2 linked regions of the Elephas maximus indicus genome follow. The protein of the gene in region 1 interacts with the protein of each later gene in a pairwise test. Links are inferred from orthologs where the notes say so. Each region holds a gene or a part of one and is shown in the gene's direction. Other genes may lie near its edges.

Evidence for each region.
Region 2: the proteins of BMX (region 1) and PTPN21 interact in binary tests that used the Homo sapiens proteins (3 or more experiments, as listed by UniProt). The link is inferred for Elephas maximus indicus from reciprocal best matches to the Homo sapiens genes BMX and PTPN21.

What each region holds. Positions count from the first base shown.
Region 1 is NC_064846.1:164,081,111-164,089,361, reverse strand, and holds the start of BMX (cytoplasmic tyrosine-protein kinase BMX), read left to right. Parts: upstream 1-5,144; 5' UTR 5,145-5,404; coding exon of another isoform or gene 5,405-5,407; exon of another isoform or gene 5,408-5,443; intron 5,444-8,251. UniProt on the Homo sapiens protein: Non-receptor tyrosine kinase that plays central but diverse modulatory roles in various signaling processes involved in the regulation of actin reorganization, cell migration, cell proliferation and survival, cell adhesion, and apoptosis.
Region 2 is NC_064828.1:102,174,017-102,181,172, reverse strand, and holds the start of PTPN21 (tyrosine-protein phosphatase non-receptor type 21), read left to right. Parts: upstream 1-4,114; 5' UTR 4,115-4,209; coding exon 4,210-4,389; intron 4,390-7,156.

The sequences.
Region 1 (8,251 bases):
TAATGTCTGCGAATTACTTCGAATGCACCAAAAACATTAACGGCAATAATAGTAACAACAATAAGGTGGATTGGTGGTGGATGGAGAGATGAATAAATGGATTAAAAAAAATAAAAAAAACCCATTGCCTTTGAGTCAATTCCAACTCATAGCAACCCCATAAGACAGAGTAGAACTGCCCCATAGAGTTCCCAAGGAGGGCCTGGTAGATTTGAACTGCCAACCTTTTGGTTAGCAGCCTAGCTCTTAGCCACTACGCCATCAGGGTTTCTGTATAAATGGATAGGTATATGATAAAGCAAATATAGGAAATTGTTCATTGTAGGATCTAGGTGGGGATATGGCTGCTCACTGGATGATTCTTTTAACTTTTCTGTATTTTGAATTTTTCATGCTAAAATCTTAGGAAAAAATAAGTTGAGTCAAAGCAGGAATCAGGGCTGGAGGAGTTCCAGAAAGATGTCCCTTTGTGCCTCTTTCCTTGATTCCAACTCTGATGCGTTGTACACAGTACAGTTCAATGAATGTCTGTTGAATTGAGCAGTTGAACGTAATTCCAGGCTACTAGGGCACTTCCAGTGCTGGCAGGATTCTTCTAGATCAGGGGCCAGCAATTTTTTTTTCTGTGAAGGCCAGAGAGTAACTATTTTAGGCTTTGTGGGCCATTCAGTCTCTGTGGAAACTGCTCAACTCTGCCTTTGTAGCTCAAAAGCAATCAGAGACAATATGTAAACGAATGAGTATGGCTGTGTCCTAATAAAATTTTTATTTACAAAAACAGGAGGTTGGCATAGTTTGCCAACTCCATCGAGACCCCAAATCCTTATCTCCCACCACAAAATGGGAGTTGAGTTGATAAAATACCAACAGTATGGGTAAAGATTTTATAGGTGTCAGGAATGGTCATCATAACAAAACAAGAACAAACCTTTCCTCGTCCACCTCCACCTGCCAATCAACAATTTCCTTTCATAAAGAGCAATGCCATTCGTTCCACTACTGAACCTGAAGCTTGATGCCCAAGCATCCTTAGGAGAGACGGTAGGCTCTTTAGCTCTAGTAAGTGTGAACAATTCCCATCAGATCCCAGCCTCCAAGTGGATGATTTTAGAACTGGAAGGAATAAGTATGAGAGGTGACAGGGTGACCCACCAATGAAGAGACAGCCGTGGAGAGAGCTTAGGCTGCAGAGGAGTTGTTGGCACCCTGTGGGGCTTGTTCTCTAGGGATGGACAGACAAGAACAATAATCAATAAGGAAATTATGTATCAGGATATAAGGTGATAAGTCCTGTGGAAAAAAAGAACAAGTAGAGCAGAGGAAGGGAGACTGGGAGTTCTGGGTGGGGTGAGGTTATAGTGTTTGACAGGGTGGTCATGGCAGGGCTCATTAAGAAGATACCCTTTGAGCTGAGCCTGCAGATGAAGAAATGAACCAGGCAGATATCTGGAAGATTCAGCAATGGAAACCTCCAGTGCAAAGGTCTTGGGGCACAGTATGCTCAGGATATTGTAGGCATAGCCATGAAGCCGGTTTTGGGAGTGGTGAGTAGTAGAAAAATCATAAGCTGATGTTAAAGACAGTAAGAGGGTACCATCGGGGAGTTCAGAGGAGAGGAGTGACAAGATTTGACTTAACATTTAAAAGAATCACTTTGGCCACTTACTGGAGAATAGACTGCACGGGGCAAGAGTGGGTTCAGGGAGAGTGGCCAGGAGGCGGGGGTAATATTCCAGGTGAGGGATAAGGGCCACTTGGACCATCAAGGTAGTGGTAGAGGTGGTGAGGAGTGGCCAAACTTGGGATGTATTTTGATGGTAGAGCCAAGCATATTTTCTGAACAACTGGATGTTGGATGTGAGACCAGACCAGACCTGTTGCTGTCAAGTCAATCCCAACTCCTAGCAACCCTATAAGACAGAGTAGAACTGCCCAATAGAGTTTCCAAGGAGCAGCTGGTGGATTCGAACTGCTGACCTTTTGGCTAGCAGCCGTAGCTCTTAGTCACTACACCACCAGGGTTTCCTTGGATGTGAGGGAAAGGTAAAAAATCAAGGGCGATTCCACATTCTTTGACTTGAGCAACTGAAAGGATGAAGTTGCTATTAGCTGAGAAGGGGAAGACTAGAAAGAGCTAGTTTAAGGGGTTAATCAGGAGGTCAGCTTTGAATATGTTAAGTTCTACATGTGTAGTATATAATCCAAATAAATATGGACAAGTTGACCATCGGACACAAGTCTGGAATTCTGGAGAGAGGTCCTGGCTGAAATTTGGAATCAAAAGCAAAACATGGTGTTTTTTGCAGCATCCACTCTCACTTCTGCAAGGAGGGGACAGAGAACTGCAGTGGTAACTGAGGGCCCCGGAAGGTCCCCTCTTTTTTTTTCTCATTAGGGACAGATTAATTCAGGGCCTCACAAGTATGAAGCATGTACAAACTTTTTATAAACTCTATAGCCTACACAGAAACCCTGGTGGCGTAGTGCTAGGGCTGCTAACCAAAATTCGAATCCAGCAGCCACTGCTTGGAAACCCTACGGGGCAGTTCTACTCTGTCCTATAGGGTCACTGTGAGTCAGAATCAACTGAACGGCAGTGGGTTTGGGTTTTTCTACAGACTACACACACGCGTACGATTATGTCAAAAAAAAGTACCTTATCAAGCAAGGTCCAACATCCCCAGACTTTTTTAAAAGTGAGAGAAAAATACAGGTCAGTCACAAAGCTAGTCTCTCTCTCTCTTACACACACACACACACACACACACAAAATGGATCCTCCCAGTTTCTTTCTCATTCTGAAAATCTAAGCACTACTTCTCCCAAGTGAACAAACTGGTTCATGTCATGAAGTCACATTATCGCTTGCTGTGTCCCTACCGAAGCTTGTAGGCTGTTAACGGCTTGCATGAACAAGCTTCAGAGAAATTTCCTAAGGATCTCACTGGGTGGAGGTGACAAAGCTGACTCTACTTCGTGCAAATTAGATCACGTCATTGGAAAAGCAGGTTGCCACAACAAATTTAGGGTTTAACTAAAGACATGGAAAACATAGAGCCAGAGAAGGGTTCAGGAGATGTAGCGGAGGAAGTGAATGAATAGAAAAATAAATAAATCGGTGCCGGTTTTGACTGAGAGGAAACCACTCCTCCTAACTGCCCTTGAGTGTGTTAAGCCCTGAGAAGGGACTGGAATCCCAAGAGAGTGTGCCCAGGTATTTCCAGGGTTATGCCACCTCCTCCCTTTCCCCCCTAAATTTACTTTTTCTTCTAGAATTTTCTTTTGCCATGCAACCATATATGAGCAGAAGAGTAAATACAAATTGTCTTGTGGCAAAGCAAGTTAGCAGAGTATCAAATTAACTTACTGGGCCAGGTGGTTGGGCCACTGTTACTCTGCCTCAGCTCAATTTCTTTCTTTCTTTCTTTTTTTTTTTTGGTGAAAATATACAGAGCAGAAAAAAAACAGCAGAGCATGCATCAATTCAACAATTTCTATGTGTACCTTTCAGCCACGTTGGTTGCGTTCTTCAGGTTGTGCCACCTTTTTTGATACGCTTTTTCCAAGTTGCTTAATCGTCATCAACACCACCTCACTGCCCTCTAAGCTTCTCATCTAACCTTTCCCGTCCTCAATTTCTTGAATGGCGGCCTTCTTTCTTCCTAGTGGTTGGATGGCGAGCTATGTGGAATCCGTCAATGACTTTTATTTGCTACGAGGGTGCAATTTATGCTCTTCCAAATTCTTCTCTAGAACTCCTTGCCCTTCCCCACATTTCAGTTTTCGGGCGGAAAGATGAAAAATCTCTTCGAGTAGTCATTCACACACTCCATCTTTACTTATCTGTGTTCCCCCACTAGACAAGTCCCTAGAGGGAGCAGGCTCTCTTTGTTCTGTTGACTTTTATGTCTCTGGTCCCTAACAGAATGCCCAGGACATGGTAGATGCTCAATAAGAGCTGATTGGCTGGATGAATACATAGAAAGGATGCTAACCCTGTGCCCACTCAAAAGACAGGACCTCATTGAAAGTCAGAACTTCGCTCTCTTCTGTCAACCCAACACTTTACCACACCATCAGCCAACCAGTTGTCATTGAGTAGAGTCATGGTGACCTCATGTGCAGAGTAGAACTGCTGCATAGGGTTTTCAAGGCTGTGACCTTTCAGAAGCAGATTGCCAGGCCTTTCTTCTGAGGTGCCTTTGAATGGGTTTGAACGCCCGACCTTTCTGTTAGTAACCTAGTGCTTAACTGTTTGTGCCACCCAGGGACTCCTACCACACTCTGTTGTTAGGTGCCATCAAGTTGATTTTGACTCATAGTAAGTCCCTGGGTGGCACAAATATTTAAGTGTTTACTAACTGAAAGTTTGGCGGTTCAAATCCACTCAAGGCACCTCAGAAGAAAGGCCTGGAAATCTGCTTCTGAAGGTTACAGCCCTGAAACCCCTATGGAGTGCAGTTTATCTCTGCACAGTTCAGAAGGTCACCAAGAGTTCCAATCAACAATGACAGCAACTAGCTAACAACAACAAGCACACTATAGATATTTACAAAGAAGTTAAAGTATCCAACAATTTATAAATTAGCACAGTGTGTCAACACATGCTAAAAGGATGGTTCATTTTCTTGTCTCTCCCTAGCCGAGCCTAAAATCTGTCACTAGATTCAGTGTATGTGACCAGCCTGTGTGCACCAGAGAAAAAGATGGACTGAGTGAACCCAAAAGTTATGTTGTCAGAATGAAGTCAAGTGACAATCACCTTTCTTCGTTGCAATCTTGGAGCACCCAACATTGGCAAAACTAATTTCTTTTCCATTTCTAGATTTCTTAATCATTTCAGCTGGGGAATGTGCTCCTTTACGGTTTTGTTAATGGTTCTTCTCTCTCTCGTACGGTCTCAGGCCTCTCTTTGTCCAAGTGTTGAGCTGAAGTTTTTATTGCTTATTCTCTGTGCAGTTTGGCATTACCCAATGGTTTCCTGAAAGAAGTCAGCGTCAGAAGTGGGGCTGTGCAGAGATATTTTCTTGTCCTTTCCGGAAGAAACCTCTAGAAACAAAGGCAGGGTTATCACATGGACCCTAGGGCTGCCTGGGAAAAGCAGGAGGTGCAGATATCAAAGTTGGAACCTTTCTGAAATATGCTTTTGTCTCTGTTTTGACTGCGTTCAATCAGATCAACAAGTGTTGGCTAAGTGTTGAGCGTGGTTTCCTGTGGGATTGTGTAAGGCTCTGCAGGACAATAAACGTTTGGGGGGCACTGAGTAATGTAGCCATTTCTGACCCAGCAGCCGGGAACATGTGAGACAATTTGCTGCTGCTGGAAGGAGGACAACTGGGGCTGGGTTCCTGCAAAGAGAAGATTAACTTTGGCGCTGTGGACCTGGGCAACAGAAAAGGCCGAAATGGTGCGTATCAGCAGCCCGGGCTCCACAGGAAAATAGGTTTGGATCCAGCTGTTACGGGGTCTGGAGTTTTCAAATTTGGGGGAGCCCACTTACAAAACAATAATCCAAAATTATGAATACAAACTCGCTAGGGCTTTGAAAGGGATTGTGTAATTTGGGGCCCAGACGTTCAGACTGCTATCTTTTTGCTGTAAATCTACCCCTGGCTCAAAATTTCATTCAGGGAAAAGAGCAGGTTGTGTGTGTGCTTCCTCTTTTGAGTCCCCCATTATTCTTTAGGCATTGCTTTTCTCTGGCTTTTAATGATTTTTTTTTTCATACCAGCTTCAAAAAACACAAAGAAATGTTATCCATGCCTTCTTTCCTTTCTGTGTACTGTATGGTGTTATTTTAGCACCAGATATTTGATCTTAGGTCCCTGAACCCTTTGCTGTCGAGTTGAATCCCACTCATGGCAATCTCATGTGTTGCAGGGCAGAACTGCTCCATACGGTTTTCTTGGCTGTAATCTTTATGGACGTAGATCTCCAGGCCTTCCTTCGTTGGCACTGCTGGATGGGTTCAAACTTCCAACCTTTCTGTTACTAGCTGAGCACAAACCCCGCACACCACCCAGGTCCCTGAAGGCTCCTTAAATCAAGGGCCCAGGGGATATTTTAGATGGGGATGGAAAGAAGGGAGGGGGGTTAACCACAGCCCTGTACTCACACCTATATAATTTTAAAAGTTCTTGTGCACCGTGATTTGATTTTAAAAAGTAGTACAGTTATAATGTGGTCTCAGTCAGTGCTTCTCAAACTCCAGCGTGCACCTGGGATCTCAGTGAAATGCAGATGCTGTTCCCGTGGGTTCGGGTTGGGGCCTGAGATTCTGCATCTTAACAAGCTCCCAGGTGTTACTGATGCTGCCAGTCCATGGACCCCACTTTGATAACATCCAGGTATTTATTCATAAATCTGGTGGTACAAATACTCAGTCAGTGCGGGGCTGGCTTCAAACCAATTTTAAGGCAAGTGGTCCCCAGATGGAGAGACGGTGCGTCTCGACTTGAGGCTGCCTGGGGAGCTCTTGCTGCCCCCCATGACCCCCAGGAGCTGGGGGAAGGGAGATGACGACTGAAGTGTTATCACTGAGGATCATTTCATTGTCTCCTGTTTTTTAACTTTGCCTATGGAATGATGAGGGGAACGGGTATATGTTTCTAGAATATCTATTAGATGCTGTATCTTCATTTTCTCTTGACTCCTCATAAGCCCTTGAGCTGGTCACTGTTTCACTCTCTTTACAGACGGGGAAGCTGAGGTTAAGCCGTGTAAAGAAACCTGCCAAGTTGCATTAAGACAGAGCAGGGATTGGAACCCACCAAAGCTAGGTGCTTTTGTTCGCACCACTGCCTAAGCAGGGTTCTGTGTTCAACTCATTCAGCCTAATGGAAATTTATCACTTTTTGCTTCCTTCCTAAGAAAGGTGCCCAGAGAGTATGCCCTGGGCAGAGGGGAGTGGGCAGAAGGAAAAGAAGAAAGGGCTTAGAAAAGCTTCAAGAGGCTCTGAAGGTGAATTTCACGCCCAAAGCCAATTTCAGCTCCAACAGGAAGAGCGGTGGAATTTTTGCCTTCTCTGTGAAAAGATAGCCTTGCCAAAGTGTCTGGTTTTCATAACTTCATTTTAGTGCAATTAAGATTAAAAAAAAATTAAGATGGGCGTTCCAAAATGCTGGGAATTTGAGTGTCAATGTTCAAAGGATTTCTGTCCATATCAGGTCAAGATCAATGGTAAGTAACTTTTGCGTGACAAGCATAACCACGTAAAACAGGGACTCGTTGCATTCTGGGGATCCCAGGTTTGTCTTTGGCCAACATCTTAAGATATGTTTTTGAACCACTTTGCCTGGTTCTGAATGAAGCCTTTTGTTCCTGTGTAAACTTATCACCGTGTTCTGTGCAGTTATTTAGCAGGATGATAAGTAGGCCTGTTGTCCTCGTTACAAGAATAGTACAATGAACATCCATATACCCTTTACCTGTTATAGTTCTTGTGCACCATCGGGTCGATTCTGATATGTAGCCACCCCGGGTGACAGAGTAGAATTGCCCCCATGGAGTTTTCTAGGCTGTAATTTTTATGAGAGCAGCTTGCCAGGTCTTTCTCCCTCGGAGCCAACCATGAACCTCTACTCTTTCAGTTAGCAACCAAGCACTTAAACATTGTGCCGCCAGTGCTCCTTGCTCTGGGCAAATATTTGAAGGTCAAGTTTGCTGCAGGTCCTCCATTTTCTCTTCCAGAACCTCCGTCCCCAGTTAGAGAATCTTCCCTCTCCTTACTGCTCTCCCCCTCCGCTGCCCTCCCACCACAGGTGTTATGTTATTATCTTCCCCCCTAGCAAAATCTTTAACTAATGACGTGTAAAGTAAGAGAGGGCAACTAATCAAGACAAAAGGGAAAGGAATTGCTACCCTCATCTCTCAGTTTTAAAGGATAAAGCGTAAGGGCACCATCCTCGACACAGCTGGGAATACACAGATCAGTAGAGGGAATTGTCCAGTGGCCCCATTTAAATATACAGCCTTTCTTCCCTTCCTTTCCTGCCTCCTGCACCCCTTCTGCACTGCGGAGAATTCATCCCAAATTTTGAGTTTGTGTGTTCTTGCCTCTTTTCAAAATATGGGCTGGAGCTTTGCTATTTAATGCTAGCTTGGGGAATTCTGCTGATAGATTGTTTATAGGTCACATCTTTCTGATATTTCCAATGAAAAGTTCCTTCGACGAGCCCTGGTGGAGCAGTGAGTGGTTAAAGTGCTGAGCTGCTAACCAAAAGGTCAGCATTTCGAACCCACCAGCCATTCT
Region 2 (7,156 bases), on another chromosome or scaffold:
ATGCGGGAGCCGGAGCAGGTGAGGCGCGGGGCCCCGGCCGGGAGGCGCGCGTGCCGGGCGCTGGGGTGCGTCCGCGCGCGGGGACCCCGGAGCGCGTCACAGCCTTGCGTCCAGGAGGATGGGTCGCGGTTACCCGATGGCAGGCGCGCAACAAAGAGAGAAGTCTGCCCTGCCCAGGCTCCGCCTGATAGACTTGGGTAGCTTACAGAGGGGGGCTTGCACTTCTGTCCTGAGCCCCTCAAATGATTGTTGCAGCTTGCTCCTGGACCAGGGTTCCGACTGTTTTAGGCGTATTTGCGTCTCTCGGAATATGTAAACGTGAAGTTTGCCGGGTAACTTGGGCGAGAGGGGGCGCAGGGAAGGACTGTGTGGGTGACGACTTTTGTTTTCGAGTAAAGAGTGTTTACTCTGGAAAAAGAATTCTCGGGTCTGCAAATTCCGACTTGTGATTTCTGCAAATCCTGATTAGACTGGCCGCTCTTGGCAAGCTCGTCCTATTTTCCTCTTTCCTGAGAAAGCCTTATCGTAATAGCGTCTGCTCGCAAATGCTTTAAAAACAAAAACAGAAACTCGTGTGCTCCAGGTGACAACCGCGGTACGCTTAATAGTTGCTGACAGAATTTTATTTCTTAAGCTTAGGACGTGTCAGTAGTTTTACTCTGAAAAGAATGATCTGTTTTGTTTTTAGGGTATTTTATTCTTATCTTCGCACAATTATGTTTTTTCCCAGGAGAAACATAGATTTGGTTTAATGCTACAGATTTAGATCTTACTCTAGAAATGCCACATACTCTCTTCCTTTATTATTTTATTTTAAAGCAATATTGGCAAAATGACGTGTGATGAGGACCTTAGCAACAAGAGGAAAAAGTCTACAGGATTCAGGATTAAAGTGTATTTGAGAAGCTTTTGGAACAGGACGTGGAGGGCAAAAATTAAAATGAACTCACAAAATAGCTCAGACTACCTTTTGAAAGCTTGTACTAAAGCAGAACTTAATATATATCTGTTTTCTTTCTACATAAAAAAACAGTATCTCCTAGTATTTTCCTTCAAAAGTTAATATTTATGAATTATCTGTGTAGTTTAGTAGTTATATAACTTATAATTCCACACCCAAATGCCTTGTAATTATTGCACGTTATTTTACACTTGAAATAGACCAAAAAAGCACTTTAATTTCTACTTCTCAATTTCATTATCTTCAAACATTCAAAACTTTGTGACATCATTTGGTAGCAAATACTGTATATAACTGAAAAGTAAGATCAGTAAATCATTGATAATGTTGTAAATATTGTATGAGGGGAAAGATGATTTTAACACAGTGGGTTTTATACAGAACCCAGTGCCGTCGAGTCGATTCCGACTCATAGAAGCAAAAATCATGCCATTCTCTTGAATACATCATGGGGGAAAAATGAAACTGATAAACACATACCCTAAGTTTTCCAATGACATAACATCTACCAAAAGAAAAAAAAATTCAGTAAACATTAGCTTTTTCTTAAACCTGATACTGTAAAACATTTCAAATCTCAGGGACAATTGAAAGTTTTACTCCTGAGTTTGCTTAATAAGAGCTCAAGTTCATAAGGTACATAGTGTAGCATTTACTGCCTTCAAGGCTTGGTTCTGTCTTCACAGTGAAGAGACTACCGTGTTTGAACATCCCTTCATACAAATATTTATCTTTCCTCTATAGATATATCTTACTTTTTCATCTCTATTACTCAATCTGCCCTGTTTCCAGTTACCATAATTTGTAAATAAAAATTGAGATTACAACCTCATCTCATGAAAGGATATTTAGCGTCTATGATATGTTAAGTACATATAATCTTTTTAAGCTTAAGCAAATACTGCTGGCTTATCAGGCACTTTTCTAGTTAAAAGCTTATTATTTAAGGTTGTTATTTGATTTGTTTTTTTCTTTCATTTTGCTTCACCTATTTAGTTTGTGTCCCTGAAACAACAAAGCATGTTGAAAACTAACGAAGGTGGAGGCTGTATCTTTTCATAATAGTTATTTTCTATTTCCCTCCTTAGAATAGTGCTTTTACCTACAGAAAGCACTCAGCAAATGCTGTTAAATTAACACAGTCCTTTTATGGTTCCATTTTTCCGGTGGCCTTCCTCCTCTATCCCTTGTTTTTAACTTTTATTTTCTTTTTCTGGCTCTTTGGAGATAACCAGGAAACAAAACCAAAGACAAACCACCAACAACCAAAACAAAACACACACATACAACAGAACACACAAAAGCAAAGAGAAAACCTCGGTGGGGGTCTTTATTAGAGACACAGCTGGGTAATAACGGCATCCTTGTAAACTCTGTAAGGGCAGCAACGATTTAGGAGTCGTCTTTGAATTCTCACAAATCCCACGATATACATTTCTGGAATGGAATTTCAAAATGTGAAGTTTGGCAAAGTATAGCGTAATAGCTAAACCCTGCTCTCCAGCCCTGACGCCCATCACCTCTGGCTGAGACCCAGCCAGGAGAGCGCGGAGTACAGGACTTGGGGTGAGGGACCCGGGATCGAATCCTGGCTCAGCCCATCCCTGAACTAAACAGCTGTTCCTCGGGGCAGCCTTGAGCAAGGAAGGGCGGAAGCTGTCACCGGATTCTGGAACTATATGGGATTTTGTCCGCTCGTTTAGGGAGAAAAAAGAAAAAGTCCAGTTGACATAAAAGCCCCCAGCTGCCGCCCGCCCCCAGTGTGCCTCCTCAATACAGGAGTTACCATCAGCAGACGTGGTTAAAAATGGTCCAAGTCGCGTGTTTTGGGATTCTGTGGCTCCGAATCTGGACTCCACCAACCTCTCCACCGCCAGTAGGGCTCGCGTGGGGCCCTTTATATGTTCCCTCCGGGAGCAGAGGGGGTCGGTCCAACCGGGTGTGTCCGTCCGGAAACGCGGCCGCGTTAGGAGGGTTCCGGGCCTCCCGAGGCTGTCCGTTGGCCCGGCAACGCCACCTCCTCTTCCGGGGGGAGGCTGCGGGAGGAGCCCCAGCCCGAGCGCGACTGCAAGGGGTTGCTCAGCTCGGTCCGCAGCTCCTTCCCCCAGGATGGCGTTTAAGGCCTCGTCTGTGTCGTCCTCTGGGCCGCGGCCCCGCTTAGGTGAAGCTTCAGCGCCTCTCTGGGCAACCCCACCCTGGAGAGGAGCCGGGGCCACGCTTTTCAGAACTGCCACGGTGCTGGTGGTAATCCCATAACCAGTATTTGTAGGGTCTTATGATTTTACAAATAAATCAGTTTGATGAAGGAAATATTGTAAACCAGAAAGGGTTCTACAAATGCTCGTTAGGCACTTTGGCTTGGTTCACCTCGCTTGAACCTCTCAGCTGCCATATGTGAGGGAGGAATTACACCTTCCATCTGGACCCGGGATTAATCTGCCTAACGGGGCTGGGCCTGGGACTTGAACCAGCCCTGGTGGTGTACTGGTTAAGAGCTACGGCTGCCAACCCAAAGGTCAGCAGCTTATCTCCCAGGCGCTCCTTGGAAACCCTATGGGGCACTTCTGCTCTGTCCTATAGGGTCCCTATGAGTCGGAATCGACTCAACGGTAATGGGTGGTGTTTGTTTTTTTTTTTTTGTTATCTCCCTTAAGGACCAAAATAAATAAATAAAGAACCCTGATATTTGGAGTGTTGAGGGGGAAAGACCAGTAAGTGTTATCTATGAAAAAGCAAAACTTTATCCAAAAAAGGAAGAGAACCACTAATGAGCGCTCCTAAACTTGGCGTTGCCTTGGTGCCCGGGATTATCTCATTACAATGGTTGTAATCACCGTTTGTAGGATGAGGAGGGGTGGAGTCTGACAATCCAGCTCTCAGCTCTGGTGGTAAGCTTGCCCACTGCCTCCAAGATCCTATTCAGTGTCTTCTTTTTCCGGAGGAGAAGGAAAGCTTATTCTCAGGACACAGTCTCGTTGATTTGTATTTTTAAAAGCCAAGCCCAGAGCTGCCAGATTGCCCATGTAACCAGCGTCCCTTTTTCTTCAGCGCTGGAGTGGATGCTCCCTTCACCTGGCCTTTGGAGACTCGATTGCTTTTTAATGGCAGCAGCGGCTGCTGGGTGAGCAGCCCAAGACCGGACAGACTCATCCCGTCAGGACAGGATTGCTTCCTCTCTGCCTCACCTCCGCTGGATTGGCGGGGGTGCTTTTCCCTCCTTGTCCCTAGACTCTTGAAGGGAGAAGAAGATGCCACTGCCATTTGGATTGAAACTGAAACGCACCCGGCGCTACACCGTCTCCAGCAAGAGCTGCCTGGTTGCCCGGATCCAGCTGCTCAACAACGAGTTTGTGGAATTCACGCTGTCGGTGGAGAGCACTGGCCAGGAGAGCCTGGAGGCTGTGGCCCAAAGACTGGAGTTGCGGGAGGTAAGCAGCAAAGGAGGTCCAGTGTCTCTGGCCTGACTTTGTTCCTTACTTCTCACCACTTTCATGCATGCTGTCTGTGTGTTCTAGCCCACAGGATACTAAAACATGTCCCTGGTCATGATATGAGTTGAGCCTACAAGCCCCCTCCCCGTGAGGAAGGAATACCTACAGAGTGAGATGTCTTGCCTTGAGGGTGCCCCTGATGTGAAATAGCAGTGCCCGAGTTTTTGGAAAAAAGGCCAGATAACCTACTTCCAAAAAAACCACAGCCACTGAAAACCCTCTGGAGCCTAGTTCTACTGTGAAGCACATGGGGTTACCATGACTGAGAATCTGCTGGAAGACAACTGTTTTTTCTTTCTTTGAGCTTTTGAAAATGCAGATTTGTTCCCCCCCAAATGTAATCCATAATCAGATACGAATGCATGTTGGATTATCCAACTTTTTCTTTTCTAATACAATCCCAAATGGGTCATCCTGCTCTAGTACGGTTCACTGACTTACATTCACTCAGCAAATATTCATTGACTTTTTGCCACAGGCAGGGCCAAGATTCTAGAGACATACTGCCTGGATTTTGAATCTGGTTTCCTCACCAACTAGTTGCATGACTTTGGACAAATTATTTGACCTGTTTGAGCCCCAATTCCCTCGTCTGAGCCTTGGGGACAACGGTGATGTCACACCCTTAAACTGGTTGTGTCATTTAATGTGTCTGCATAGCCATAAGCTCTAGTAACTAGTCTATTCCCGTAGTCATAGGTTCGCCCTGGAAAACCTCAAAATTTTGTCAATAAGAGAGTTGTGGGGGCCTCGTGTATCGAGATAATGTCTTTTTTTTTTTTTTAAACTACTGTGTTTTTGGTGAAAGCTTACATGGCAAATTAGGTTCTCATTTAACAATTTCTATATTGTTCAGTGGTATTGGTTACTTCTTTCACAGTGTGTGAGCATTCTCATTATTTCCATTCTGGTTGTTCTGTTTATATTAATCTAGCTTTCCTGTCCCCCCTTACCTTCTCATCCTTAGTCTAGGGTAAATGTTTACTGTTTGGTTTCATTTAGATGACTGTTTATAGGACCACAGTATTCATGGCTGATTCCAGTTAAGGCCTTGAAGAAAAAGGCTATAATTAAACCTAGGATTCTCCTTGCCTTTAGCCCCCTAGTTCTAGGGTAGCAGTAAAATGGAGAAACTGGTTATTCTACTTGAACGCCCAAATTATATTCCTAACTGGAAATCCCGCTGATGTACTTCATAAAAAGTCAGAAGTAGATAAACTTTGTCCTTGGTGACTATCCTGTATCTTGATTATTCAACATTGAAGACCTATAAGTTCACCCTAGGCACACACTAGGAGTTCACCCTAGTGTTGCTAGCAACACGAAAACAGGCATGATGCATGCTATCGTAGAGCAAGTACAGGATGCTATGAGCTATGGGGGGGTCAGCAAAGAGAAAGATTCTCAGAACACGTGGTGTCTGAGCTGGGACCTGAAGAATTGGGCAGGGGAGTCTTCTGGGGGCTGGAAAAGACTGTTCCAACCAAAGGAACTGCACGAGTAGTGGCTCTGAGGCAAAAGCAACTGATCTGCCTGGAGGCTGAAGTGAGGAGTGGGAAAGCCGAGAGGTTGGGACTTAGAAGGTGGGGCTTTTGTTAAAGGATTTGGACTTTCCCTGAAGGAGAGATCAGTCCCTGGAGAAGGACATCATGCTTGGCAAAGTATAGGGTCAGCGGAAAAGAGGAAGACCCTCAACGAGGTGGATTGACACAGTGGCTGCAACAATGGGCTCAAGCATATCAACGATTTTAAGGATGGCGCAGGACCGGGAAGTGTTGCGTTCTGTTGTGCATAGGGTCGCTATGAGTCGGAACCGACTCGACGGCACCTAACAACAACAACAAGTGAGGACACCAGAAAAAGGTTTTTAAGTGATGGTGTGTTACTGTTTTGCAAAGAAACATCCCTCTGGAGAATGATTAGGAAGGGGTGGTTTTGGTGTAGGTGGTGACCACCTAGATTTGGATGGGGGTAGGAAGAAGTGGGTAAAGTCTGGAGAGATTCAGGACAGTCTCAGTTTCCCAGGACTGCTGTAGTGAAGTACTGCAAACTGAGTAGCCTAAAATGACAGAAATTTATTTTCCCACAGTTTTGGAGGACAGAAACCCAAAATCGAGGTGTTGGCAGGGCCATGCTCCCTCCAAACCTTGAGATAAAGATCCTTCCTTGCCTTTTCCCCCTACTCATAGCCCCAGGCATTTCTTGGCTTGTGGGGGCATGACTCGGATCTCTGCTTCCATCCTCACGTGGTCGTCTTCCATTGGTGTCTCCGTGTCTCCCTTTTCTTCTTATAAGGATACCAGTTATATTGGATTATGGCCCACCCTACTCCAGTATGGCTTCATGTTAACTAATTACATTTATCCACCACCACTGCCGTCAAGTCAGTTCTGACTCATAGGGTTTCCAAGGCTGTAAATCTCTACAGAAGCAGACTGCCACATCTTTCTCCCTTAGAGCCACCGGTCGTTTTCAAACTGCTAACCTTTCGATTAGCAGCCAACCACTTTAACCACTGTTCCAGTAGAGACCCTGTTTCTAAATAAGGTCACATTCACAGGCACGGGGGGCTAAGACTTCAACATATCCTTTTTGGGGACACAATTTAACCGATAACAAAAACTTAGCTAGTAAGCGTTGATGGAAAGAGCTAGCAAAGGGTCCAGGTAGATACTCAGGTTTCCAGGAGATGGTGGGGACTGTA